Linked DNA regions of Coturnix japonica. The protein of the gene in region 4 binds, or shares a complex with, the protein of the main gene of each other region. Links are inferred from orthologs where the notes say so. Each region holds a gene or a part of one and is shown on either strand. Other genes may lie near its edges. The genes, in order: RRN3, TAF1D, POLR2K, TAF1B, POLR1C, TBP and POLR1B.

The links.
Region 1: TAF1B (region 4) and RRN3 share a complex: the UniProt entries of both Homo sapiens proteins name them as parts of the pol I pre-initiation complex. The link is inferred for Coturnix japonica from reciprocal best matches to the Homo sapiens genes TAF1B and RRN3.
Region 2: TAF1B (region 4) and TAF1D share a complex: the UniProt entries of both Homo sapiens proteins name them as parts of the transcription factor SL1/TIF-IB complex. The link is inferred for Coturnix japonica from reciprocal best matches to the Homo sapiens genes TAF1B and TAF1D.
Region 3: TAF1B (region 4) and POLR2K share a complex: the UniProt entries of both Homo sapiens proteins name them as parts of the pol I pre-initiation complex. The link is inferred for Coturnix japonica from reciprocal best matches to the Homo sapiens genes TAF1B and POLR2K.
Region 5: TAF1B (region 4) and POLR1C share a complex: the UniProt entries of both Homo sapiens proteins name them as parts of the pol I pre-initiation complex. The link is inferred for Coturnix japonica from reciprocal best matches to the Homo sapiens genes TAF1B and POLR1C.
Region 6: TAF1B (region 4) and TBP share a complex: the UniProt entries of both Homo sapiens proteins name them as parts of the transcription factor SL1/TIF-IB complex. The link is inferred for Coturnix japonica from reciprocal best matches to the Homo sapiens genes TAF1B and TBP.
Region 7: TAF1B (region 4) and POLR1B share a complex: the UniProt entries of both Homo sapiens proteins name them as parts of the pol I pre-initiation complex. The link is inferred for Coturnix japonica from reciprocal best matches to the Homo sapiens genes TAF1B and POLR1B.

Annotation. Positions count from the first base shown.
Region 1 is NC_029529.1:37,331-40,830, reverse strand, and holds part of RRN3 (RNA polymerase I-specific transcription initiation factor RRN3), read left to right. Parts: intron 1-272; coding exon 273-362; intron 363-816; coding exon 817-952; intron 953-1,829; coding exon 1,830-1,960; intron 1,961-2,965; coding exon 2,966-3,096; intron 3,097-3,500. UniProt on the Homo sapiens protein: Required for efficient transcription initiation by RNA polymerase I (Pol I). Required for the formation of the competent pre-initiation complex (PIC).
Region 2 is NC_029516.1:166,172,873-166,177,039, forward strand, and holds the start of TAF1D (TATA box-binding protein-associated factor RNA polymerase I subunit D), read left to right. Parts: upstream 1-1,367; 5' UTR 1,368-1,477; intron 1,478-1,797; 5' UTR 1,798-1,810; coding exon 1,811-2,037; intron 2,038-2,122; coding exon 2,123-2,579; intron 2,580-2,706; coding exon 2,707-2,882; intron 2,883-3,300; coding exon 3,301-3,361; intron 3,362-3,676; coding exon 3,677-3,790; 3' UTR 3,791-4,167. UniProt on the Homo sapiens protein: Component of the transcription factor SL1/TIF-IB complex, which is involved in the assembly of the PIC (preinitiation complex) during RNA polymerase I-dependent transcription.
Region 3 is NC_029517.1:116,286,560-116,290,838, forward strand, and holds POLR2K (DNA-directed RNA polymerases I, II, and III subunit RPABC4), read left to right. Parts: upstream 1-1,479; 5' UTR 1,480-1,499; coding exon 1,500-1,574; exon of another isoform or gene 1,575-1,605; intron 1,606-2,375; coding exon 2,376-2,439; intron 2,440-3,143; coding exon 3,144-3,236; intron 3,237-3,405; coding exon 3,406-3,428; 3' UTR 3,429-3,894; downstream 3,895-4,279. UniProt on the Homo sapiens protein: DNA-dependent RNA polymerase catalyzes the transcription of DNA into RNA using the four ribonucleoside triphosphates as substrates.
Region 4 is NC_029518.1:87,994,937-87,998,436, forward strand, and holds part of TAF1B (TATA box-binding protein-associated factor RNA polymerase I subunit B), read left to right. Parts: intron 1-1,589; coding exon 1,590-1,680; intron 1,681-2,132; coding exon 2,133-2,203; intron 2,204-3,500. UniProt on the Homo sapiens protein: Component of RNA polymerase I core factor complex that acts as a GTF2B/TFIIB-like factor and plays a key role in multiple steps during transcription initiation such as pre-initiation complex (PIC) assembly and postpolymerase recruitment events in polymerase I (Pol I) transcription.
Region 5 is NC_029518.1:27,798,784-27,803,080, reverse strand, and holds the start of POLR1C (DNA-directed RNA polymerases I and III subunit RPAC1), read left to right. Parts: upstream 1-1,497; 5' UTR 1,498-1,540; coding exon 1,541-1,609; intron 1,610-1,682; coding exon 1,683-1,754; intron 1,755-1,850; coding exon 1,851-1,958; intron 1,959-2,049; coding exon 2,050-2,182; intron 2,183-2,742; coding exon 2,743-2,862; intron 2,863-3,077; coding exon 3,078-3,230; intron 3,231-3,365; coding exon 3,366-3,515; intron 3,516-4,041; coding exon 4,042-4,158; intron 4,159-4,297. Other genes in the region: protein YIPF3, read right to left, coding at 81-173, 763-808, 890-996, 1,071-1,277, 1,348-1,410. UniProt on the Homo sapiens protein: DNA-dependent RNA polymerase catalyzes the transcription of DNA into RNA using the four ribonucleoside triphosphates as substrates.
Region 6 is NC_029518.1:36,564,474-36,568,458, reverse strand, and holds the start of TBP (TATA-box-binding protein), read left to right. Parts: upstream 1-1,185; 5' UTR 1,186-1,295; intron 1,296-3,070; 5' UTR 3,071-3,259; coding exon 3,260-3,313; intron 3,314-3,985. UniProt on the Homo sapiens protein: The TFIID basal transcription factor complex plays a major role in the initiation of RNA polymerase II (Pol II)-dependent transcription.
Region 7 is NC_029518.1:13,948,877-13,952,376, reverse strand, and holds part of POLR1B (DNA-directed RNA polymerase I subunit RPA2), read right to left. Parts: coding exon 3,358-3,500; intron 1,976-3,357; coding exon 1,804-1,975; intron 821-1,803; coding exon 649-820; intron 546-648; coding exon 264-545; intron 1-263. UniProt on the Homo sapiens protein: Catalytic core component of RNA polymerase I (Pol I), a DNA-dependent RNA polymerase which synthesizes ribosomal RNA precursors using the four ribonucleoside triphosphates as substrates.

The DNA.
Region 1 (3,500 bases), on a different chromosome or scaffold from region 4:
CGATCATCAGAATAGGGCTGTTGTGGTTTAACGTGGCAGGCTAAGCACCACACAGCAGTTTGCTTGCACCCACTGTCCTCCTTGTGGGATGGGAGAGAAGCTGGAGGGGGCTTTTAGCAAGCTGGTCTAGAGGAGGTGTCCCTGCCTATAGCAAGGGGCTTGGAACTAGTTGATATTAAAGTTCCCTTCCAACCCAAACCACTCTGTGATACTGAACAGGAATGTTTCATATTGCTGTTATGGTCTTATAAAACTTAATTTCTTGTTTGTAGGTTAGTACTCCCCAGCAAGATATTGAAGATGCTGAAGAAGCTGCCAATAACAGTGAGGAAAAGTCTACAGAGGAGGGACTTTTTGACATGGTTGTTTATTTTGTTTGCTAAGTTTTTTAGTGGAATTTTCACCTTTGAAATCCTCTGAAACTTAACTGTAATAATACATTATTGCTTTGTTGTAGCTGATCTGTAAACAGGAAAAATGAAACAGATTTTCAAGCCTGAGTAGCTGACAAATGATTAATGTATTCTCCCCATGCCAAAATTAATCATATAAATATCCAGAATATGTATGGTAGATCAGTTTCCTTATGAAAAAAACTCAGGCAGCTGTATATAAAGCTTATTAAAGAATTAGTTGTAATTGACTTAGTTTACAAAAATGTTGCTTAGACTGAGCTGTACTGGTGTTGCTTTAAAAAACAGCAACAAAAACTTCACCATGAACATAGATACTTTGTTTCATTTTTCTCTATATAATTATAATTAAGTTATGGCATAGTGGTTACGCACCCTTCATATGCACTATCTTACCTACCAGGAGGAAGATGATGAAAGAAAAAAAAACGAAGTTGTCTCTCCCAGTAATGAGAGAATGGCCCATCCACTTGCAGAGCGACTGGATATTTTGATGACCATCCTGTTTGCCTATATTAAAGATGTTTGCCACGTGGATGGTAAGAATACAGGAACAATAAATTTGTTTTTCTAACAAATAGGAAAAACATACGAAGAATTCTCTATTGCAGCAGCAGAAAGTGAGTCTTCATCCTTTAGTTGTAGAGTTCTGCTATTAGTGCCTTCTGGGCTTTGACTGAAGCTGAAGGTGTCATTAACAGCCTGATCTTTAGTTGGAGACATTTTGACTGCATAAATATGGCACTGTACCCAAAGTGTAATGTGTTGGGAGTAAGAATAAATAGTTTTCTTTTTTCACTGTGCTATTAAACTTCTTAGGGGGGTCAGAAAAACTTTCTAATTAACCACAGTATTTTATTGTTTGCTTTGCTGTTTTAAGTATTAGAATTGTGGATCCTTTGAATATCGTAAACATAAGTAGTAGATTAGACGAACCAGGCTTTTCACTCAGTTGGAAGTGGTAAAGGACTTGTATTAAAGGAAAAACCTGATTTTATTTATGTATCTATTAGGAACACAAATCTTACACTAGCATTTATTAAGGGGCTGAATATTAGACTTATTTAAAACAGAATGTTTAGAAAATTGTTTTATCACATTAGTGAGGCAATTTTATTTTTTAGTATTTTCTTTTGCCTCTTCTGAAGAAGCACGTTTGCAGCCTGTCAGTATTGCACATGCTTACATTCACAGATATAATCTAATGTAAAAAGAAGTATATGAGGAATAATTGAAGTTCTGGAAGGTCTCACTACAAGCATTTTATTTTAGGCGCTTTGTAAGCTTACAAGTTAGCTTGACAGTAGCTTTGCTTGTTTCTTCCTGATTCAGGAAGATAAAATGCCTTTTTCACAACATGAGGGCAGGAATGAAACTGACGTGACTCATTTTTGTTTTCTGTTTGTTGTTGTGTAGGCAAGCTTGATATCAACAAGACAAAAGATTTGTATCGGGATCTTGTTTCTGTTTTTGACAAGCTCATTTTACCAACCCATGCTTCTTGTCATGTACAATATTTCATATTTTACATCTGTAGCTTAAAATTGGTGAGTACAAAGTGTTGTTAAAATGAAGTGTCTTTAAGTCTATACTTTATATTTTCTTCAAGAGTGAGTTGCTTTTTTTCCCTATAGGTCTACAGTATGTTTTCTCTGAAGTTTGTATATCAGGATTTATTAGTATCCTTTTTCTCCTTGCTTTCTGTTACTCCTTTTTTCAAACTCCTGTTATATTTTATTATTATTATATTTGTTATATTTTCAACCTTCCCCATGCTGTTCATAAATGGCAAGCAGCTCAAAACCAGCCCATTGTGAAGGAATGTAGTAATAGAAGTCTTTTACACGAGTCAGTTGGACTTTTAAACCTGAGGCATAGTAATCTTGCAAATTTGATCAGCATCCAAAAACTGTGTTTAGCTCTTCAATTTGGAATTTGTATTTACTGATTGTTCCCTCCATTTTTCCATCTCTTAGGCAACAGACAATTTTTTCTCTTTACCATTCTGAAAGAAAAACACCTGTACTTTTGGCATAAGATTAGCTGAAGATCCACTTAGCATTATCTTTTACCTCTGACAGTGGATAGCAGATGTATTGTAAAGAATACTTGAATATAGCAAGCATATTATAGTGCTTTGTCAGAATAGCGTCTCGGTCTCTAACAATAGTTCAGTAACTTCCTGAACAAAAGCGACGTTCCTTTGCAGGAGCATTGCAGGATAGACAAATTCAAGGGGAAGGTATCTCATCACTTTTTAAATTTATTTAGTGATATAATTTTTTGGTATTTGTGTACTTTGTATGCCAACAAGTCTTGGAATATGACTATTTATGATAAAGAACCGCTTTATGTATTTCTCAAAGTTCAACTTACTGCTGTTTTCATTGGATCCTATCTCTACTGCTCCAGGGGTGGTTAATAGTTACTTCCTGTTTAAACTTGTTAATGTTTTTATAGACTTCTATGGTTTGACTAAGCAAGTTGTTGGAACTGAATATTAGCAATCTATTGTTATTACTATAACTACTCATGTTTTCTGTGTATTCCAGGGATTGGCTGAGGCATTTTTAGACCATCTCTGGAAAAAACTGCAGGATCCAAATAATCCTTCGGTGATAAGGCAAACTGCTGGGAGTTACATTGGCAGCTTCTTAGCAAGAGCTAAATTTATTCCAGTTGTGTAAGTTCTTTTGATATGAGAGCATGGATAGGTTTTGTTGACTTTAGGCTGAGTTATGGATACTCAGTATATCTGATATTCAGAAATATATGTATTTTTAATGCTCTTTTAAAGTATTTTATATGGATTCTGAGACGGGGAAAGTCAAGTGTTTAACTATTTTTGTGCATACTGAAAATATTTCAGCAAATAGATGAGAATCTTTCTATTTTGTATTCATACATTCTATATTTTTATGCTGTTAAAGGTGTGCACTCAGTGATTTTAATGGTGAACTTTAATTTGATGTTGTAATTACATGTTGGACAGTGCTTATATATATATGGTATATATATAATTTATATTATTTATATATATTTATATTTTTATATATTTATATATATAATATATATAAACAATATATA
Region 2 (4,167 bases), on a different chromosome or scaffold from region 4:
AACAAAGATAATGGTTTAGTAATTAAAAACACACTGCTTTCAATATGCAATTTATCTGTCAAATTCACCCGAGAATACATAGATAACAGTAGAATTGTTATTATACCATTGAGGGAAAAACTGACAGCTTCAAGATTAGTGTTTTCTCATGGTTTAGTGGCAGCTATTAGTGGTTTAGTGGCAGCTATTAGTAATATGTGGATGGTTGTACTGAATAATCTTTCAGGTCTTTTCTAACCTTGGTGATTTTATGATTCTATGTGCTTTGGAAGCAGGTGTGCCTACCAGCTCTGCAGCTGCTTCAGAGCATTACATCTGTTAGTCCTCAAACTTCCATCTCAGTACAGACAAAATATGTAATACGCTGAACCTAATTCAAGGGACAGGTCAGTTATCTGTCCTTTGTAAACCCAAAGCCACGCTTTTCTAAGCACAATAACTGCCTTACCCGGTCTTCACTACCTTAATGTTTACTTTTCCAGCATTGGCTATGATGGACTTTCAACCTTGGCTCCCAGTTTCTTATAGGCACGTGTTTCCAAAGTGGAAGAAGGTTGTAGTGCATCTCAAAGCCAAACAAAGGCACCAAAGCAGCAGCAAGTTGTACAGCACTGGACTCTATATCAGCTCAGAGCCTTTCACAGCAAGCTTTGTTCAGAACAGAAATGTTGGAGCTTCTTTTGAAACGAGCTATATTTCAGTCATGCAACAGCATAACCTGCTACGAGGGCAAACCAGCAGCTCCAGGCACAAGCAGCTGGTTACATGCTACCTATAAACCAGCCCCAGAAATCATTAACTCCTTAGGCACACGCCTGCTGCACGTAACAAAATAGGAACCTTTCATGGAAGAAAAAGCGAGACTTTGAGCTCAAAGTTCAGCTACCTCAAGTTCTGCCTGTAACAAGCAATAGAGCAAGAAAGCAAGCTGTCTATGTAGAGTGATTTCCATCTTAGCTGGGGGCTCGTCCGCTTCTATGGGCGATTCTCCCTTCTGTGAAGGAAGCTGTCACAGGAACGCTGCAAACGGGATGGCAGGAAACAACCGACACGTCGAGACACTGCGGCTTTTCTTTTCCAAGCAGGAAAGGGCAGAAAACGGAAAGGAGAAGTTAATGGCTGGATAGAAACGCTTCATAGCGGGGGGCTGGGGGGAGAAGGAAGCACAGCCAGAGCCACAGAGCCAACAGGGACAGCGCCAACGTGCAGATGAACTCAGCAGAGAAGCGAGAAGGGAAATTCAGGCCACGTAAACGAGGGTAAAAAGAGTCTAAAAAGAGTCCCGGAGCCAAACCTGCAGGAGCCACCCTCTGGAGACCCACAGCGAGCGGGAACCGCAGCCAATGCCCACAACCTGCGGCCGCCCATCCCCGCCCCCCTCACGGCACTCCCCGCCCCGTCCTGCTCTCGCGAGAGCCGAGCGCTATTTAAGCTCGGGGGCGGCCATTGCGCGCCCTTTCCGGAGGTGAAGCGTGAGGTGAGTGTTGGGTTGGTGATGGCGGTGCGCTGAATCCGCTGCCATCCGCCGTGTGAGGACCCGCTGTGAGGCTGGGGTAGAATCAAAGCACATCCTGTCGCTGAGCGATTCCTAGACGGAGCGCAAGGAAGGCCCTGGGGCGGGTGGGATGTGGGAAATGGGCTCCTCATGGCGGCCCGGGGCTGTGGTAGAGCGGCGGGAACCGCGCAAAATGTCCGCCCCGGGATGGTGGGCGGGAGGGGGCTACTGTGAGGGAGACACATACGTTCCTTGGATGTGAAAAGCTTTGCCTGGGGTAAAACATATTTAATTTCTTTCAGGGCAGATTAAAACATGAGTGATACAGATGAATCCCACACCTCTTGTTCTGATGATCCTGATGCTCAGAGTCTCGTATCCACTCAGAGGCGAAAAAGATCTAAAATACCTGAGCGTGCAGTGAATGCAAGGAAGAGACGTTTGTGCTCGAGGCAGAAGGACGCCACTCCTGAGGAGTCTTCAGATGAGACTAGTAGTACAAATACATCTTCATCTGAGGTGGATAGCAGCGATTCAGAAATGTGAGTTACCTGGTTCCTTAGAATCACTTACGAACAAGACTCATAAACGTATGTGCTCTGTTGAATGTACACGTTTCTTTTTCAGTGATGTTTCAGCTGCTCGGGGCAGCAAACGCTCTAGGAAATGCACTGCTCCCTCTGCGGAGCAAAAGAGGAGATCGCAGCCTTCAAGGAAACAAGCAGGAGCTGATGCACGAGTGTCTGATGGTGAAAGTCCTGACTCTTTGCTCCCTGAGAGCCCGGTGAGGCCACCTGAACCCTCCCAAAGGAGGAAATCCAAGCTCGATTTGAAAGCCATTTTTGCCTATCACTTCAGAGGAAGGAAGTTTAAAACTGCTGCGCACCGAAGATACAGGAGCGGTGTTTCACGGAAGACAAAGAGACGCTCGGAACCCCCAAAGAAGCGTGGTGGGAATCGGCCCATGACAGCCCCGCCTCAGGAGCGAAGGAGAAGGCTTCGGGATCCAGGCTTTCAGTTCCCTTTTGTTGAAAAACATTATGGGAGGAAACATATTCCCGTAAATATGGTTCTTAGCTATGAGGTGAGCCCTGTGTTTTGTGGGAGAGAACCAGCTGACCTAAGGCTGTCATTTAATGTTACAGTCTGGTTGATTATATAAATGGTTCATTTCTTTGTTTGTATTTAAGATCTATTCCTTTTTTTTGCAGCAAGCAGCTGCGAAGGGATATTTCCAGTATGTTGAAATGCTTAAAGCTGAAGAACACCTCAAAAAGGCTTTGAAATCCCTTGAAGCAAATGAAGACTTAGAAAGGGAATGTCTGACAGCGCGGAAACATAAATATTTAGATGACAAAGGCCCCATTTCTCCTATCCAGGAGACAAAGTAAGTTCATTTTCAGTAGTATAAAAGTTGCTGTTTTGTTCTCAACTTAAAGTCTGTGTGTTCAGCATTGCTGTCTTTATTGTCTGGCACGTGCATTATATTAATTGGTGAAATACCTCTTGGATTTTTCTGTAACTCAGTAATGGATTCTGTTGGCTTAGCACTGCTGTGTTGTGTGCTCTCTCCTCATCCTTAAAAGAGCAGAGAGAGAAAATAAGTAACAGCTCATGGCTTTAGATAAGGATCTTGTTCCACAGGCTCTCAGTGTAGCCTCATGTAGAAGTGGGAGCATCCCAGACCTGTAAGCTGTAGCGTTTCCATATGCATTATGAGGAAGTGGTGCTGCATTAGGAGAACAGCTTGTTTATGCTGCGCTACTGTAGAAGTACAGATTTGATTTGAATTTCCTGCCTTTCAGCAATGACGATGATAACTGCTTGGGCTCTGATAATCCAGAAGACTTTGATGTCAGAGTAGTGGTGAGTAAACATCCATAATTTGAAAACTATAACCTGTTTTCTCTTTTGAGGTGTTAAATAAGTAACAGATGATGCTTTGAGTACTTAATTCTTGAGCTTGGATCTGGAATTAACCAGTTTGTGTGGTTTTGGTGTGTAGTACAAGAGGAAATTGGTTTGAGAGAAGTCTGAGCTCTTTGGAATTATGTTGGGATGTGCGGAAATTGGGCAGTTCTCTGAAGCGTCCATAAAACTTCCTAAAGGAAGTTAGTAATAAATTGGTACTTCAAGTGTCTCCAAACCAGACTTGAGAATGCTGTTTTTTTTTGTTCTCAGGACAAAAGCTGTTTCATTATAAGCAGCAAAATTCCCAACAAGAAGAAGAAATCAAAGGCCAAAACAAAGCGAGCAAAGTCAGCTGGAGTGATTGAAGAAGAATGCTGCTGCTAAGTGATCCTGCTGAAATAGCACCTTCCGCAGCCTGGCTTGTGGAACCAGCAGGTCACAGAGCTACAGGACTAAGAGTTCCAGCTCTTGTAATTAAGCAGTGTAGAATAAACTAATTCTCCTAAATCCAATATCATAATCTCAAGCTGCTTTAAAACAACTAGCAGTGTGATGAAAAGTTCTATTCCCTTCTTCCCCTCCTCAGTCCAGAGTGGGGTCTTACGAAGGTGACTGAGCAGAGATAGAAGCCCTTCAGCACAACAGGGACTATCTGCTGATCTTGTAGCATGAATGGGAACTTGTTGCGGTTGCTCAGACTAGATGTAGGAGTGGGGTTCTGGCAGGGTAATGCAGTGAGGTGGGTGTGGAGTCCTGCTCAT
Region 3 (4,279 bases), on a different chromosome or scaffold from region 4:
TCAGGAGCCGGGCTGAGGCGTTCCCGCTGCTCACAGCTTCTCAGAGTCGGGCGGGAGGCACCTTCAGCGGGTAGCCCGAGCCCTCACAGGTGGAACGTTGTCTGCACCAAGAGCTTAAAATCTGAGATGTAAGGGTGCTGATTAATTCATTTTAATTAGCTTATTTGTACCCGACAGCTCAGGAGCTAGATAATCATACAGAACTTCTGTTTTTTCTTTCATGGTTTACGCTTACGGCTCCACCAGAAACACTGTGAGATAAAACATGCTTTAAATCGTTGGGAGTAACTCCGAATGTAACGCCTCCACCCAGGGCAGAAAGATGGAGGTTCTCCGTGGTAACTAAGGCTGAGCAGGGCGGGCTCCATCCCCCCCAGAGCGGGGAAACGGGGCGTCTCGGTGTACGGGTAGTGCGACCGGAGGGTAACTGTAACGGGTAAAAACATTAGGGTTTTTGCGCTGGTTCCTCGTTCCATTTTAGAATGCGAATTAAAGAGTTTAGAAATGGAATCCAGGGTTTCCCAAAGTGCTTTCTGTAGCAGTTTCACGCCAGTCGGAAGAATTTCTCTTCAGGACCGGCGTTTATCAGCCCGTCGGAACGGGGCTATACCCCGAGGGAGGCGGCGTGAGGCACAGAAGTAATGGACGTTTAAAAAGACTCCATCCCACCGGGGAGCAGTTAAATGATGGATATAATCAAGATAATGAATGATTTTCTCGGGACAATCGATATATATTTTTTTCTCATGGGGTATAATTAGTAAGTAGGTTTTAAAGCATCACCTCGATGCTTTAATCATTTCGTCAAACCCGTTTTAAAATACAAAACGAGTGCGGGGAAAGATTATCGGCTTTACTTTAATTTCAGTGATTAGTTACTTGTGAGGTGTTAATTACTTTGTGTCCATCACCGGAGGAAGGGATCGTTCCGTTTTGGTTGGTTGATTTTTGCTCCCGGCAGCAGCTCCCACCTCGGAGGACCCGGGGCAGCGAACATCACTGCCGTGCACGTCCCGTTATTCTTACATGTGTTTTATTCCGGCACTAAGAAGTTACACTTAACTTTATTTTCGCACAGCAGCAAGACAAAGCCGATGAGCCGCCTAGAAATCCTTAGCACGTTGTTATTACTTCTAGCTTTCCCCAGGAGACGGTTGTTATTCGGCGTTCGGAAAGACGCATTTCCTCACATCAGGGAGATGTTATCTACAGAGCAGTATTTGTTATACGTTCTTACGTACCTGAGGACGTGCCATTACTCACACAGGGACGCCTAAGGGGCACCCAGCACTCGCCCAGCTGTAGGGCTGAGCCGGTGACTGACAGCACCGCGGCTTGCCAGTTTGTTTCAATGCGGGAATACATGGCACAGACCGCAGGGTACCGAGATTTAGTTACCAGCGCCAGGCTCAGCTCACTAGCGCTTCCAACTCTCACTCCCCCAAGGCTCCATCAGCCGCTATCCGCTGTAAACCCGACACAGCGCCTTAAGGACGGCGATGCAGACCCGCCCCCTCCGGCTTTGCGTAGTGACGCCATCATTCGGCGCCGAGGGGACGGCGAGGAGTGTGGAGGTTGGTGCCGCTTTCGGCTTATCCCTGCCGGGTTGGTGGTGGTGGTAGATTCGGGGTGAGGGGGGAGTGGGGAAAGGGTCGACCAAGCCCCTGGGGGTCAGTGGGGAGGAGGCGTGGCTGGCGCTGAACCGAGGCGGGCTGGGGGGGGATCATTGAATCATAGGCTCATAGAATGAGCTGGGTTGGAAGGGACCTCAAGGATCATGTAGTTCCAACCCCCCTGCCTGGCAGGGCCACCAAACATACACATTTACTAGATCAGGTTGCCCAGGGCCCCGTCCAACCTGGCCTTGAACACCTCCAAGGATGGGGCATCCACAACCTCCATGGGCAGCCTGTTCTAGGACCTCACTGGTCTCCTAGTGAAGATCTTCCCCCTAATATCCAACCTAAGTCTACCCTCTTTCAGCTTAAATCCATTTCCCCTTGTCCTGGTATTATCAAGAAGGGGAGAAAAAATGCTTTCTTTCTCTGTATGGTCACAACCTTAAAACGTAGGTCTGCAGTAATACCTACATGTTAGGTGGGGGTTGCTAAAAAATGAATTGTTTGTGGAGTAGTTGTCTGATATTGTGAAGGAATGTTGGTGAACCTGAAGGCAAAAGGTTAGCGTGCCAGGACAAACAGAAGTCCTTTCCAATGTGTATCATCTTATGTAGCATATATTAAACAGAGCTTGAATATTTTTGTATTTATTTTAAAAGAACTTTTTCAATTTCTGTCAACTTTAGATGGAGATATTGAAATATTTGTGTAAGACAACAACAAAAAACATGTATTTTATTTGTTGTTTTTGCTTAGAACATGGATTCACAGAAGGACGTTCAGCCCCCAAAGCAGCAGCCAATGATTTACATTTGTGGAGGTAAAGAAAAGACATTAGTGGTATTCAATGCTCTAATAATGAGGAATGTGCAGTCATAGTGCCACAGAGTACAGAAATCTACATAACTGGGTTGTGGATCCTGATGATGCATTAAGCTTTATGCACTGATGCTCCCATATGCATGGATTACTTGTGGTTATTGATGTGGAAGTCGTTCACTAGAACCTCTGTTGCTGTGTGGGGGTCCTGCATCTCTAGAGGATGATAGCAGAACTTTTATATATTGCATCTTGGAGACAAAGTTTTTTTGGAAATAGTGTTGTCATTCAACTTTCACTAATGCACAGTTGTCAGATTTTCTCTACCTAAACATAAGTTAATAAAGTGAAAATTGGAGCTTTTGAGTAACCACTTTAAAAGCCTCAGAAAAATTTAGGCTTAAGAAAATAAACTTGGTGGCTCGGAGGGGCTGAGAGGAAGGTTTCATTAGTGGAGTGTGGAATGGTACAGTAATGTTTGGATACTTTTTAGCAATCTAAGTTTGCCAATTCTTTTTTTTTTTTTTTTCCTTAACAGTATCTTAATATAATTCAGTTACTTATTAAAATTCACTGCAATTATTTTCTGTTATGCTTTGTTTGCTAGTAAAAGGAATTAGACCATTGTTACATCTGAAAGCTATCTGTGCTTTAGATATGCTGCTTTTGTTCACTCATTGCTATTCTCCTTCTCCATCATATCAGAATGTCATACAGAAAATGAAATAAAGGCAAGAGATCCGATCAGATGCCGAGAGTGTGGGTACAGAATAATGTACAAGAAAAGAACAAAAAGATGTATCCTTTTACAAAGGCAGTCGAATGCATTTGGGAAGCTGTGGGGCAAGCTGTGTAAGAAAATTGACTTCAGATTTATGCATTCCCTCTTTTTGTTCTCCTTGACCCCTTTCCTCCCCTGATCTTTCCTTGAACTGCAACGCATTTTTCTTTAACTGCACAATTCCAGTGGTGGTTTTTGATGCCCGGTGATTTGACCTGAAGATACATCAATTTTATACTTCAGTTTAATATTTCTGGCAACTTTGCTCTGTAAATCCATTGGTGTATAAATGCATAGTTTAGTGGTTTAAGATATTAAAATATTAAACTTCACTGTGATACTACTTGCCATACCATCTCAATTCTGTCTATACTACTTTTAGAAATGGGTTTCTTCCTTAAACTTTAGTCAGAATGTGCAGCATTCTGTTAAATTCATTGGTATTATATTCATTTTTGAGTTAAGTGTTAACCTTGTTTTCACAGCTCACACCTAAGCCTTACCTGTGTTTCAGCTCTTCAGTGTTTTTTGGACTCCTGTGAACTGCATAAGATAATCTTGGTTTGAATAAATCCCAGTGAAGACATATTGAAAGTCACGCAAAATCAGGTCTGAAATTTGGATTTGAACTCGACAGGACCCAAATCAGGATAAAAATAAATGTGTAAATAGAGATTCTCAGGCTGTTTTGTGACCTTGCTTGTACTCACTAAAATAAGTAGGTCTACAGTATAAAGAAACCTTGGATAAGGTAAAACTGAAATAACGTCATTTTGCTTTTCGGATGATTTCTCATGAGTCTGTATTAAGAAGTGGTTGCCGTTTTGTACTGATAAGCCCAAACTTTTTGCATCCATTTTCCTGTTCAGAACATTTATATTCAGAATATTTAATACTAAAATACCCATAGCGCCAATTTGTCTTAAAAAACACTGCTGCTTTGTGTGTGGTGCTAATTTAGCCTGATTAAATGCTTGCAAATCCAAATTTTGTTTCCAGTGCTGATGAGGCTGTTGAAAGACAAACATGTCATTTCACTGTTATCTGTACAGTATGATAC
Region 4 (3,500 bases):
CACTTGACCAAGCTTAGTGTGCTCAGATGAATAATAGCTGATACTGCACTGTAACGATCCAGCATATCTGGCATATTGTACTTGCAATACAGCCATCCTCTCTCTAGTCTTTTTCTTTTGCTGTATAAAATATTTCAGCTCCTACATCTCAAGACAGCCTGGAAGCAGTTGTAGCTGTAGCTTCCTTGCGTGTGTCTGTGAGTGTATGTTCTGCAGACTGCACATGTACACAATGCTGTTTATGCTCAAATAAAATGTGATTGAGGTATGTGTATATGTGTGAGTGCATCACAGAGCTGTGCATTTGCCAGTTGACTCAGCCGTGTCGATGCAGGACTAGCAGTACCAGCCACGTGGACGGTTAGTGTCATGTCCCTGACAGTGGGCTTCCTTGTGACAGATGTTGGAATAATTTGTATTAAGTTAAATACAAAAATTATTTTCTTCCCACAGGCCAACCTCCCAGCACCCTCTGTGCAGAGGAGTTCGAAACAGAACTTTATCCATGTCATTGCATTTTAATAACTGACGGGTCTTTCTTCCCCTTGTTTGTCCATTTCAGGCCAGCTGTAGTTCTTGTTTGTAAGGCCTCTTGTGGCAGGATAACTTGAGTAGCAAAAGCATAGAAGACATACAGAACTTTGCTTATAAGAACAGTATATTCACCTTCAGAACAGTTTGCCAGCTAGCTCTTTAGAAGTGAGCATGATGCAAGCATCCTTGCAGAGCAGCTGGGGTGATGGGGAAATGCAAAGCCTGGTTAATTCATGATGCAGATAATACACCCACGGATAATAAGAGTTGGTTATTTAAATTTACCCTGCACCATAGTTCTGTTCACAGTTCTTATACTTATTGTACCCTGTTGATCTACTTCAATCCTGTGCCTCTCTGGAGTATCAGTGGTAAACATGCTGCTGGAATGACTTATGCCTTAACGTTTTTGCATGCACTGCTATGTATTTGTTCACATATCAATGAGTGAGAATCCAGTGTATGTGGGACGCTGGTACTCAGTGAATACAATTGTCTGGATTATCCTTCTTGCCTTGCAACATCTCATGGGCAGCAGGATGGATGGTGTGGGGTTGGGGGTTGGACTCGATGATCTCTAGAGGTCCCTTCCAACCCCTACAATTCTGTGATTCTGTGACACTGCTTCACCTCCTACATCTGAGCTTCAGAATTTGTTTAGAACTAAGCTTCTACAGTTTCATGAATTCCTTGAAGTCAGATTTCAAGCAGAGGAAGAAGACCAGTTAGTGTTGTGGAGATCTAGTTCTGGTAGCAATTACACTTAACTTTCAGAAAGGAGGGAGAAGGATTAACTTGTCTAAAACTAGGAAACATATTCTGAGCAGAGGTGTTTCTTCCCACCTCTTATGCTGTTCCTTTCTAGTATTTCTGCTTTTCATTTTCTCTGTCTTACAGAAATGTTGGGTTAAGTGTGTTTTCTATAAGCAGATGGAATTAAAGATTTGCCTACAGACGGGAGATGCAGAGTCCAACTGCATGGTGACCACATTCTATGTATCACATTTCTTTCACTCCTTCACAACCTAAAACTAAATTACGAATGTTTTATTCAGGTGGCCCTTATTTCGAGTTCAAAAAGTGGTACAAGGTTATAAAATGTACCTTGGATGTGGAGCAAAAAAAACTGGATGAAGAAAAGGCCAAGTAAGAGATTTTTAAGTACTGGATAATGATAATAGCAATATTAAGGTAGATGATTGTAAGTGAAATCCTGACCCCCCACAGGAGCTGAAAAAGTTTGGACTTTGCTCCAATGTTCCCATCCTGCACATTTAGGTGAACAGTGATTCCATCCGTGTCTCAATTTTCTGTTTACAATAATGATATTTATCCAGCATGTTGATTAAACACTGTCTGTGACAAGTAGCTTATATAATTGAACAATTAACTGATCACAGTGAATCTAGGCTTACATTCCTCCATTTATCTATGCAGAAAAAGGCTGCTGTATGTTTTGGAGGAGGTGTCTTTTAATGGTGTTAACAACAGATTATTTTGTTTTTATTTTAATAGCTGTATCTAATTAAGAAATTACGATTTGACTTGCTTTTTCTAGTTTTCTTTTTCCTAACAGTTTTTATTTCTCTTACTTGTAGGTATCTGTGGAAATGTGAAAAGCCCCTGTTTTATTCACTCAAGAAGAAATCTAAAATCCTTAGGAAAAGACGTGAGTAAACTCCACCTCTTTCCGCCAGCACAGAAGTCTGCCCCAACTTTTCCCATCATAGAAATTCTGACTGTAATAATATTTACATCTTAAAATACTTTCCCTTCAGTCTTTCATCTCTGGGCACAATGAATGTTGTACTGTTTTACAACCCGTGGCTGGAATTCTTCAATCAGACGTTTTCCTACTGCTTAACTGAAACTGCAGCCTTCACAGTGATCTACTTAATGTAGTCTCAGAGTTAGTACTTTGTCCTCATCTCACTCATCTGTCAGCTGCCTTCGTATTACTGTGCTCTTCATAATTTTTTGTTGATCTTCCATGGCTTTTCAGCTCCTCTCTCTTTCCACGTATATATCACGTTTGTCCTTGGGTAGACCCTCCTGTCCCTCTTTTCTCCTAGTTACTCTTGCAGTCTTCTACAGAAGGTGAGAAGGATTTCTCTGAGTGTGGTTTTGCTTGAACAGCTGGTTGTTCATGGTCAGAATGAAGATCCCTTCCTTTTAATATATATGGAAGTATAAATTAATTACTTGGTTTGGAAGGGACCTTAAAGATCATCTAGTCCGAGCTCCCTGCCATAGGCAGGGCTGCCACACTTCAGATCAGGAACCCAGTGACTGGGTTTTACTATTCCATTTAAAACAAACAAAAAATCCACCAAACAGAAACAAACAAACAAAACCAACAGAGACTGCACTCATCCTTGTAAATAGGAAAACAGGAATTTTATTAAACTAAATAAAACCTGAGGTTCTTCATTCTACTTTTGATAGTAGTAAGCAACAGGTAGTGGGAGAGAGGTGTTAATGTGGCAAGTGATGTTTTTCTCCTTAGATACTCTTCCCGTTTCTGGAAGCGACTGATCCAGGAACTTTTAAGCTCGTTATTATACTCCTGTTTAGTTTGAATAATTCATGTTAGACTTACTGTGCAAGAATGCATTGGGTTTTTAGTAATGTTTTTATCCTTCAAAATTCTGTAGTGGTGATGTCGCAGTTAAGTCACATTCTGGGTAAAAACAGATTTGTTTATTTCATTCTGAAATGGTTTCCTCAGGAGCAATTTAGTTCCCTTGTCAATAGGAAAAATGAAAAACCATTTGTTGTTCATTAATTCCATGCCACTTTATATTCTCCGTCTGGATCTTGTTCTCTTTGAGATAGGAAAGAACCAACGGGATCATTGAGTTATTGCAGCCAGGAATCTCACATCATATCATTTCAACAAGGCAAGATTCATCTTAAGTTTTAAATAGTAGAGACAAGGAATGCCTATACAAAGAGTCCCCTAGAAC
Region 5 (4,297 bases), about 60 Mb from region 4:
GTTTCCTCTCCCTTTCCAGTGTCATTATAGCAATCCCAAACCCGGTCAAAGCACAAATGAATCACTGAGACTCGCCATACAATGATAGTGTCCGAGGTCTTCATCCCATGCAACAGGATGGCCACCAGCGTGAAGACCAGCATGAGGGGTCCGTAAAGCTCACCTGCAATCTTCTACATGTAAAGAGAGAGATGAGGCTTAGTTAGTGCTCCTGTCTTCCAGGCTCTCCACCCTGAGAGACATAACGAGCATCTTGGAGACTTTTATCACCCGAGGAGCATCTGCAAGGCCACTGCTGACAGAAGCCACACAGAACAGACTGTGATGAGTCAGAGTGGTGTTCAACAGGATGCAGAAATGGGCAAAGTGAGGTCTAGAGTTCTACAACTGTACCAGCGTTAAGGGTAGCAGGAAGGTAAAGGCAGCGCTGGCACAGGCTGTGCAGGGCAGCGGTCACAGCAGTGAGCTGGCTGGAGTTGAAGAAGCATCCGGACAATGATCTCAGCTATATGGTCTGATTTATGGGTGGTGCTGTATGGAGCCAGGTGAGCCTTATGAGTCCCTTCCAACTCAGGATGTTCTATGATTACAATTCTATGAGAATGGGGTTTGGAACAACCATAGGAAAGGGTTTACTGATACTTTGAGGGAGGTGAACATCTAACAGACTTGGATCCTTAATAACAGGCTAATTACATCTGAGGGGTCTCTGTGGAACAGTCACTCAGGCTGTGGGGTCTGGTTCAGTGAGAGAGAACTCACCTGTGGGAAACTGATCATCTTGACGGGCACCATGGACTCCAGCAACCTGCATTACGGCACAGCGGGGAACGACATCAGGACAGTCATTAAGAAGCAACAGATCCCGTGCACCCGCTGCCCTGCCCACCTGGTGCGCACTTGGACGGGCTCCACGTCGAAGTATGGCCGCAGGATGTCGATGTTGGCGTAGAGGCTGAACGCTTTGGACGCCTGTCGCTTCCCCACCTGCCACATCTGCGGACAGAACGGTACGTGCAGCGGCGGGGCCGGGGCCGGCGGGGCTGTTGGCGGCTCGTGAGCCCACTCACCTGGTCGGCCACCTGCCGGCCCAGCTGCCCCTGCAGCCCCTTCATGCCCAGGAACTCGCCGTCCTCTTCCCCGCCGGCCCCCGCCTCGCCCTCCGCCTCCTCGTCCTCCTCCTCCTTCATGCGCTGGTGCATCTCCCCCATGTCCTCGAAGCTGGAGCCCGACGTGTCGTCCATGTTCTCCATGTCGATGACGGCCGAGCCGCCGCCCTGCTCCGATGCACGGATCGTCAGCGCCCGCTCGGGCCCCTCTGTCCCCCCCCCCGCGGGCCGGCCCCACCTGCACGTTGTCCTCAAAGCCGCCCCACTCGGCGGTGCCGCTCCTGCCGCCCGCCGCGGCCATAGCGCCGGTAACGGGGGACGGCAACGCGGATGTGACGGTCCGGCCGCTCCGTGTCTCGCGAGAGCCGTCAGTTCCGCATGGCCGCCTTACGTGCGGCGGGGCGGGGCGGCGGCGCGTCCTTCCGTCGGCGATGGCGGCCCGGCGCGGCACGGACGAGATGCGGGAGCGCGTGGTGCTGGGCGAGTTCGGCGTCCGCAACGTGCGTGGGGCGGCGGGACGCGGGGCGGCTCCCGCATCACCCCCCGCTGCCTCACGGGCTGCGCCCCCCGCAGGTCCACACCACTGACTTCCCAGGCAACTACCCCGGGTACGACGACGCGTGGGACCAGCGGCGCTTCGAGGAGGTGAGTGGGAGCTGATGGAGATGATGGAGCTGATGGAGCTGCTGCTGCGGGGCCCCTTGTTCGGCTCCGTCGTGACGCGGCGCGGTTCCCGAGCAGGGGTTCCGCGTGGACGTGGTGCGGGAGGAGGACGGCGTGCTCGAGTTCGACATGGTGGGCATCGACGCGGCCATCGCCAACGCGTTCCGCCGCATCCTGCTCGCTGAGGTACCGCGGGGCTGGGAGACATGACGAGTGGATGGTCCCCGTGCGGTGCCCTGCTTGGCGGCTTATCGCCTCGCTCTGTCGTCCCCCCGAGGTGCCGACCATGGCTGTGGAAAAGGTGTTTGTGTACAACAACACGTCCATCGTGCAGGACGAGATCCTGGCGCACCGACTGGGCCTTATCCCCATCCGGGCCGACCCGCGGCTCTTTGAGTACAGGAATCAAGGTGAGGGGCTCGGGTCGAACAGCGGTGGGGAGGGTGGAGCCCATAACCAGGAGCTGGGGTCACACCGTAGGATCATGAAGGCCATCAGGTCCAACGATCCCACAACATACAGGGACTCCTACATCTGACCAGGTGCTCAGAGTCCTGCCCAGCCTGGCCTTGTAAGTCTGCAAGGACAGGGCATCAGCCGCATCTCTGGGCAGCCTGTTCCAGTGCCTCACCACCCTCATTTTCACCACTCTCACTCAGTAATAGACTTTTTCTTTATCTCTAAAGTAAATCTACCCTCTTTAAGCCTCAAACCGTTTCCCCTTCTCCTATCACAGCAGACCCTGCTGTAGAGTCTGTCCCTTTCTTTCTTGCATGCTCTTCCTAGGTGCAGAAAGGCCGCTTCCAGGTCTCCCTGCAGCTTTCTCTTCTCTAGGCTGAGCAGCCCCAGCTCTCAACCCATCCTCGTAGGAGAGATGTTCCATCACTGGGTCATTCATGTGTCCCTCCCCTGGATACACTTCAACAAAGCAGAATTCACTTCCATAAAGATACTGTTTTGCCATTTCCAGGAGATGAAGAGGGGACGGAAATTGATACTCTGCAGTTCCAGCTGAAAATAAAATGCAGCCGGAATCCTCAGGCAGCCAAGGAATCGTCTGACCCAAACGAGCTGTATTTCAATCACAAAGGTGAGAGCTCCTTGTGCCTGCCCTAAAAGTAGGTGCAGCTTTCTGCTTTTTCTCTTGTTCATTTTCTTCTTTCTCTCTCTTGGTGTTTTGCCTTGTGAGCAGAGACAGCTCATTTCCTCACAGTATACATAGCTTGCTTGTGCCATCTCCTATTCAGGTCAGCAACCTGTTTTCTGAGGCAGCAGCTGGCTGATGCTCGTGGTTTCTTTTGGCAGTGTACAGTAAGCACATGACATGGGTTCCCTTGGGGAATCAGACAGACCTCTTTCCGGATGCTGACTTCCGACCTGTCCACGACGACATCCTTATAGCACTGTTGAGACCTGGGCAGGAAATAGATGTGCTCATGCACTGCGTCAAGGGTGTAGGTGAGTGCTGGGTCTGAGCTGGGGAGTGGGTGTGCTGGTGCTTGGACTCGAGCACAGCTGTGTGATGGGAAACACTGGAGAACTAGCTTGACCCCAAGGCCTGTCCTCATCCTTAATTCTGAACTCTTTGTGCAGGTAAAGATCATGCCAAGTTTTCTCCTGTGGCCACAGCTAGTTATCGACTGCTTCCTGACATCACTCTCCTGCAGCCTATCGAGGATGAGGCAGCCGAGACGTTACAGAAGTGCTTTTCCCCTGGAGTCATTGAGATCCAGAACGTCAAGGGTACTTTCTTTCCAGCTGTAAAGTGCCTCGTTCCTAACAAGTCTTAGCAGTGACTGAATAGAGACAGTAGAGATTGTAGTCAAACCTTGTTGGGAAAATAACACATTGCGATGTTGTCTTGCTGATCAACAACAGTTGGTGCTGTTTTGAGCCTGGTTGTAGTGGCTGAGTGGCTGTCACACACAAATGTTTTTAGCAGTGAACTGAGATCTCCCTGAAATGCTTATGTGTTGCATGCCTGTCTGTAGAGCCCTGTGCTACTGTTAGGTGTCTGGGTAGCGAGCTTGCTCTTTGTAACAGCTGAGCACGGGGAGGACTTGTGTCCTGCCCAGGAGCACATACAGGCTTTGTGTTTGGCTTAGAACTGTTCGAGGAAATGAATTCTGCCAAGCTGGAGTTTCATGTTAGGGATGTGCTAATTATATGTGGCTTTGCTGCCTCTGCTGCTTGAGGGGTAAGTACTTTTTGTGACCCCAAGGTGCTCATCTGCTGCCGGTGCCCACCTTGTTTTGTCTTCTCCTTTTAGGAAAGAAGGTGGCAAGAGTAGCCAACGCACGGTTGGACACGTTCAGCAGGGAAGTCTTCCGACACGAGGGTCTGAAAAACCTGGTGCGCCTGGCCAGGGTGCGAAATCATTACATCTGTAAGTAGCCTGTTTTGTGCAGAGCAGAGTGCCCAGCCCGATTCTGCTTTGTACAAACAAGCAGGGGCTGGCCAGTGTGCATACCTTGGTCTCAGTCTTTCCCTTCTACTTGGCATCGTTATTCTTCCTATGTTTGTAT
Region 6 (3,985 bases), about 51 Mb from region 4:
CTACACCTAATTGTACTAAAGCAATCTTCCACTGGACAGTAACAGAGAATCAAAGATACTACACAGAGTTACAGGCTCATTCTTCCATTTCAGTCCTTACAAGGTGCAGACTTACAGTTTGTAGCATTTGGGGCTGTCCCGGCTGTGAATTGCATAACCTTCACTCAGCCGTGTGTCGGAGGCAAACAATGCTGAAAGTCTTCCCCAGCGATCGCCAGCACAGTCCTTAAAGAAGAGCATTCATATAATTCACACAATTGGCACAACTTAGTTCTTAGGCAAGCGATGAACAGCCAGAAGAATAACAGAATGACCCGGGTTGGAAGGGACCTCAAGGATCATGTAGTTCCAACCCCCCTGCCTGGCAGGGCCACCAAACATACACATTTACTACATCAGAGTTGCCCAGGCCCGTCCCAACCGGGTCTTTGGAACACCTCCAAGGACGGGGCATCCACAACCTCCCTGGGCAGCCTGTTCCAGGGCCTAACCACTCTCCTAGTGAAGACAGAAGGCAAAACGACAACGAGCAAGACGCAGCCCAGCTCACCTCCCCCCGGCCCATCCCTGCCCGCGGCTCTCACCCGCCGTTGAAGGTGTATGGCGAGAAGCGGTACTGCACAGGTCCGCCCAGCCCATATCCCGGCTCCGGCCTCAGCTCGGCGTATCGCGCTGCGGACAGCATCCCTACGGCACCAGCCCTGCTGTCTCACGGCAAAATGGCGGCACCGGAAGCGAGGAGGCGGCGCTCTACGAGGCACAGGCACCTCGTCTCGTCTGCTCTGGAGGTACCACGCCCCATCGGCGGTGACCACCCGGCCGCATGGAGCCGTGCCAGCCTTCGGGCGGCAGGGCCGGCAAGCACAGCAGGCTCTCGCCATGAGCACACCAGCACACCGTGTGCCCCGGTGGTGCAGTAGTAGCAATGCCGCTTTGCAACACCGCAGGCCCTGGGTTCGAATCCCCCCTGTGGCGCGTGTGGTAGAAGTGCCGCTCTGCTACACAGAGGCTCGAATCCCGGGGGTTGGACTCGATGATCTCTAAGGTCCCTTCCAACCCGCACCACACTGTGACACTGTGAGCACGGCACCACACGCTGTGCCACGAGGTGCGAGTAAAGCCAACACCCCGCAGACAACAGCCCGCAGGCCCCGCCCTCACTCAAGATGGCGGTAAGAGGGGCGGGGCGGATTCGTGGCGGAAGTGACGCAATCGAGGCGCGCCGGCGGCGCGGTCTCGGGGCGCAGCCTGTGTCCCGCAGTTGCGGTGCTGGTTGTGGCGGCGCCGCGCGGCAGGTACCGGCCGTTCCGTGTCCCGCTCCGCCCCGCAGCCCACACGGCGCGGGCTGTGCCGCTTATGGCGGGGGGGGTGGCCGGGCCGAGCCCGCTTCTTACTCCCCGTGGGCGCCGCCGTAGGGTCGGGGTCCTGCGGGCGGGCCCGAGCGGCGGGGAGGGGGGGAGGGAGAGAAGGGATGTGCGGGGTGAGCGGGCCGCGGGCCGAGCGGAGCGACGGGAGCGATCCCGGTACGGCCGTTGGTGCCGGGGGCGTGATGGCGGCGGGACGCGGTCACCGCCTCCCACACGTGACGGCGGGCGGGGAACGCGGCGGCGGCGGCGGCCTTGGGTTCGGTACGGGAGCCGTGATCGGCCCTTGCCCTGCACGTGGGCCTGGTACCGGGGCTCGGCGGCTGGGTTCGGTGTATGTGGAGTCCGCGCGGCGTGTTGGGCCTGAGGATGGGCTGCCCGTGATGCTGGGTAACGGCTGGGCCCCTTCTTTGCACGGTGTGCAACGTGGAAACGCCTTTGGGTAAAACAGCGGGTGGTTAATGTGATACTGAGTGCCTTAAGGACGAGAGAAAGATGGGCAGGCTTTCTTCAAATGTTTCAGTGCTGTGCCTTAAAATGGCTTAGGAGCTCTCTGTGTAAGTGTGCAGTTAAGCTATAAATGAATAGGAAAAATATCTGATAAAAAGGCTTAGCATTTCATAATATAGCTATGCAGAGAAGGAGCTGGGTGTTTGCAGACAGCAGGTTGGCCATGAGTGTGCCCCGGTGGCCCAGAGGGCCAATGGGATCCTGGGGTGCATCAAAAAGAGCATGGCCGGCAGGTTGAGGGAGGTGATCTCCCCCTCTGCCCTGCCCTGCTGAGGCTCCATCTGGAGCACTGCGTCCAGTTCTGGGCTCCCCAGTTCAAGGCAGAACAAGGAGTAGTGGACACAAACTGCAGCATGGGAAGCTCCGTACAAATAGAGGAAGACAGAGCTGCCCAGAGAGGCTGTGGAGTCCCCTTCACAGTAGGTACTCAAAACTTACCCAGCCACTCTCCTGCTGTAGGGATCCTGCTTTAGCAGAGGATTGGGCTCAGTGATCTCTGGAGGTCACTTCCAGCCCTTACAGCGCCATGAAAGCATTTCAGTTCTCTATTTGTATTGTTTCTTTCCATTGCGTGCCAATAGAGGTACAGGTCTTTGTTTAAAAGGCAAAAAACAAACAGTAAGTGAAACAACACCCAGAAGAATACTTTCGTTTCATGCATATACCTGGAATTGGCTTTTAGTTTCCCTTTTTCCCCTCGTGAAGTACGTCATTGCAATTCAAAATACATTAGTGCTTTGCTTTATGGAAGTAGATGGGAGGAGGTTTCCTAAACCTGAGTTTACCAGCAGTATTTTCATATAGCAAAATCAAAAAACAACTTTGGAAGGCCAAGCCTTAACTCTGCCCAGGGGGAGATGTGTGAGCGAAGCGTGGCTTTAGGCTCGTCTGTCAGTAGCTGGTGGAATTCAGTTCTGAAAGTCAATGCTTTCCCATCTGAAGCGATGCATGCAGGACTGGAGCTGTGTGTGAAGGAGGCCTTCGTTGTGGAGGCGGCTGCTCACGTGCAGTGGATGTTCACCAGGGGCACTAGGGCTGTAGAAAGAGATTGCTTTATATAAGGTGCATGGGTGTGTGCGTGCGTATGAGTGTTCTCGCATATATTTGTATGTGGGCATTTCTTATCTAACAGACCAGCTGATAAGCCTGCTTTTGTTTAAATGTTATTCTCAAGATATTACTTCTTTTCTTTTCAGGCCCTGTTTAGTGTTTTAGACTCGCAACGTGTTTTCTCTGGAGCTGATGTTTTCCTGACACGTTTTCAGCTTGGCTAAAAAGCTGCTTTGCTGGAATGCTTTAGAGGGTCAAAAACCCTTTTTGGTTTTAAATTAATTTCAATTAATTGAAGGAAATATTTCTGGCCTCACCAAAGAATAACCGGAATCATGGATCAGAACAACAGCTTGCCACCCTACGCTCAAGGCTTAGCCTCCCCTCAGGTAAAAAGGGATGATGTGATATGCAAAAGCGGTCTGAATTTCTTTGTGGGAGTGTTTTCTGTGTCTTGTATGTTATTTCTTTGTGTCTTTTTTTGTTTGTGTGTTTGCAGATCTGAAAAATTCTACTGTATATAACTTACTCAGTAAAAAGCAGAGATGAAAAACCATTTATATATAGATAGATAGATAGATATGGGTATATATAGATATATATCCAGAGGTTTAAGAAATACACTGATATATTTATGGTTTTCATGAAGCTGAAACATTACTGGCATGTTGAAAATAAGAAGGTTCAGGGGAGACCTCATTGCAGCCTTCCAGCACTTGAAGGGAACTTGCAAGCAGGAGGAGGGGGGCTGACTTTTTAACATGGTCTAATAGCAGTAGGACAACGGGGAATGGCTTTAAACTAAAAGAGGGAAATTTAGGTTAGATGTTAGGAGGAAATTCTTTATTCAGAGAGTGGTCAGGCACAGAGAAGCCTGTGAAGCTTCTCTTGGCCAGAGAAGCTGTGGATGCCCCATCCCTGGAGGCATTCAAGGCCAGGTTGGATGGGGCCCTGAGCTGGTGGGTGGCAGCCCTGCCTATGGCAGAGGGTGGGACTGGATGGACTTTCCCTTCCAACTCAAGTCATTGTATCATTTTAACTTTGTTCATTGCTTTTGGAAT
Region 7 (3,500 bases), about 74 Mb from region 4:
CAGAAAAAATTCAGAACATCTGGACAGGGCAAAGTGGTAGAGGAGACTGGATGGAAAACATAAAATGTGCACAAGTGAGAATGCCATTTCCCATCCAGCCCCAGCACTCTTCTGGATGAAACAAAACTCCCATCACTGTGCTAATCACTGGAGGAGCTGCAGTTTAATTCAAGTTACTAGAACATTTTCCACATATGGGTTTGTAGGGCAGAAAGGTAAAAATGAAGACTGCTTCATTAGATAACTGAGCAAGTAAACTGTACCTAGAGCACATAACATAGGTGGAAGGTCTGTCACAGGAACCATCTCTGTCACTATTTCACACACAGCTGTCATGTGGTTCATCAGACCGCAGGGCTCTCCATCTGGGGTGTCCACAGGGCACAGGAACCCCCAGGACTCCGGCAGCAGTTTGCGCACCGTGGTAGTTCTCATCTGGGCAAACACTGACCCTCTGTGAACGCAGCGGAAGTGCGAAAGGTAGCGAACAAAATTCAGCTTGTCCCCCACCACACACAGACCGCTGTCCTGCAGCATGCCAAGGCCTGAGGAACAAAACAGAGGTTTACATCAGGATGTTGCTCAGTTTTATGTTGTTTCTCATGCTGTTTAGGTAAAAAAAAGGGCTTCTTATACCTTAAGACTTACCAGTCTTAGATCGCAGGTTACCAGTTGCAAGAAGATACTCAAATGACTTGGTAACATCTGTGGTCAGACCGAACGCCTTCATCAAGCTGTCTGCATTGATGGTGATGTTGGCCTTTTCTGTTTTCTTCTCCAAAACGAATTTAACAGACTGCAACCAGTTCTCAAGCCTCTCCTGTGGTTTAAGAATGTGAGACTTGAATTAAATACAGGAACACAGACACTTTAATGAGTGGCTCAGTTATCTACGCAACAGAAAGCCAGTCTATTTAGAGTCTTTGCATTTACAGGAGAGGTTGCTCACTCCTCTGCTTATCTGACAGGGCCAGACAGGACAGCAATCCCTTCTGCTTCCTGGTACCAGATTGGGAAAGTGCTACAATGCTTCACATAATTCATTTTTTATTCTCTTTTTACAGCCATTGAAACCACTCATGTAGTAGACAAGTTTTAGAATTGTTTCAACAAAGCGATGCTAAAGATTTTGGCTAACATGGCAAAGAAAGATTACAAGTTATCTGGTAACTCAGGGAAGCTTTATTACTTGGGGTTGACAAATTTCACTTCTGAGCATTACTTTCTTTTTGGCATTCTACAATGAAGAAATGCCAGAAATAACTTGAATCCAAAGTGAACTGGAATAGTTTAGGAAGCTGCACTTTTACACCACCAGTAATAAATTAACAGTGTAAATTGGAAGTATACTCCTAACTTCCTGATCTGTAAAAGAACTCAAAGACGGGGTAGAAATGACAATATAAATCACTGATTTTCAAAGAAAGAGGATGGGACAGTTATTTACTTGCACATCTGCTGTGTGACACAGCAGGAGCACCACAAAGAGGCTGATCTTTATTACTAATCTATCAACTGACACAACAGCAATATGCTGTTTCAAAACCCTCCGAGCTGGTGTTCCTCCTTCGCCAGACTCCAAGCCTGAGCTTTCATTTCTGTTGAAGGTCCCAAAGCTTTTCACTCCATGTTTTACTCAGGCCCCTATTTAGTGCGGTTCGTGCTGTGCTGCATTAGATTCAAGTCTTTATAGTATACCAAGGCTCCCTGCTCTTCAGTTTGGCTCTGTATTTCTCCCATCTCCTTGGCCACTGCAGGTCCTAGATTGGATGACCCCTCCATACACAGGCCTTATGACCTTACCTTTAAGAACATAAGGAAAAGCTGTCCTGCAGTAAGCACTTCTTGATTCATTAGACTGTCTGGATTGTCCTCCATGCACTCCCCTTTGGCAAAAGCATACAGTTTCCTGGTCATCATACAAAGCAGGTAGAATTTTTCAGTTCTGTCTGTCAGATGTATGCAGATACACTTGCTGGAGGGAGAGAAAGAAGGACAATTAACACCAGCTCGTCACGCCAGCAGTTCTTCATGTTTGCTAAATAATATCAAAATCTTTTTCCCCCTGTTGCTAGAAAGATACAGCCAGTTGATCACATGAAGGTGAGCCTCATGGAAAAAATGTATATCATATACTACTACACATCCTTACAAGTATACAGTTCACATACACAGGCCCACTTAAGAGATAAGATTTGTACATTATTTTGCAGCAGGTATGACACCAAACACCACTACATAACCATATACATGTGCCCAACTCCACCCCAAAATCCAAGCTGGAGACTAGTAACAGATCACAGAACACTGCAATCAAATCCCTGTGTGGAAACGTGTGCTGAATGACATTTTAATGCAAGCAGTAAAGCTGCTAAACTGCCTTCCAAGACAACAGAAATAACCTGCTTTCCAAGATGTAAGCACAACAACCTTCCAGAATATGAGCACACAGGATCTGGTCACTCTGTACCTCTGCTCCATAGCGCCCTCTTCTGAAGTCTGTACAACTTCACCATAAAAACAAACATTCAAAGAAAGTTCTGGCCAGGTAGAAGTTACAATGCAAAGTACACCCCAATTGATGCTTTCCACAATTGCTCTTATCTCCACAGCGCAGACAGCTTTGACAAACATTGCGTACAGAACATACCACGGGACAATAAGACACCACCAAAAAGCACGAGAGTATTTAGACTGAAGAAAATTACAGTATGACTTTCTTGAAATTATCCGCTGTTTCTCAGTACAAAGAGCTGTTCTTCCAACAATTCTAAGTGCTTCTCTGAGGCACTGAAAAATTGCCTCAGTGCTTTTAGACACCTGATGATTACTCCTTATTTCCAGGTACTCAAGGACTTGGGCATCTCAAATGATACTTTTCAAAACACTTTACTAAAACACTTGGTCAAAGAACTAAAATCTGTATTACCCGAAAAAGAAAGTTAGTTGAATGCTTGTCACGCTGGCAATCTCAAACCCCTCTCTTCCATTTCTTCCTAACTTATTCCATTGAAAAAGGGAGACTTTAAAACATCCAATTCCTATCATTTAAGTGTAATTCGCGTAATAGTTGCTAATGACTGCGTGAAACAGCAGATAAAACGCCACAAATTACCCTAATGGTTCAACCTATTGAAACTAAAGCTGTCCACACAACTTCCCCTTCTTTCAACTTGAACAGAATAGATTATCACAGTATCCTGAAGTTCCACCAAGAACTGGCCACCCGCTGCTATTTTATTAGCATGTACAAAAACCGTAATGAGAGTGTGAAATAATATGGCAGAGTATTCCTAAAGTTGCTTGAATTTCAATGCAATAGCACAAGCACACACTCCTAAACATGTACATACGTACTTGAAAATGAAATCCGCAGCCTGCTCATTGCTGTACCACTCGGGAAGGTTGAGTTTTACTCTGAAGCTCTTTCCAAGGTAATCGAGGACGTTTTGTTGCGTGTAACAATGTGCTTCAGCTACTGCTCTAAGCATCTCAGTAAC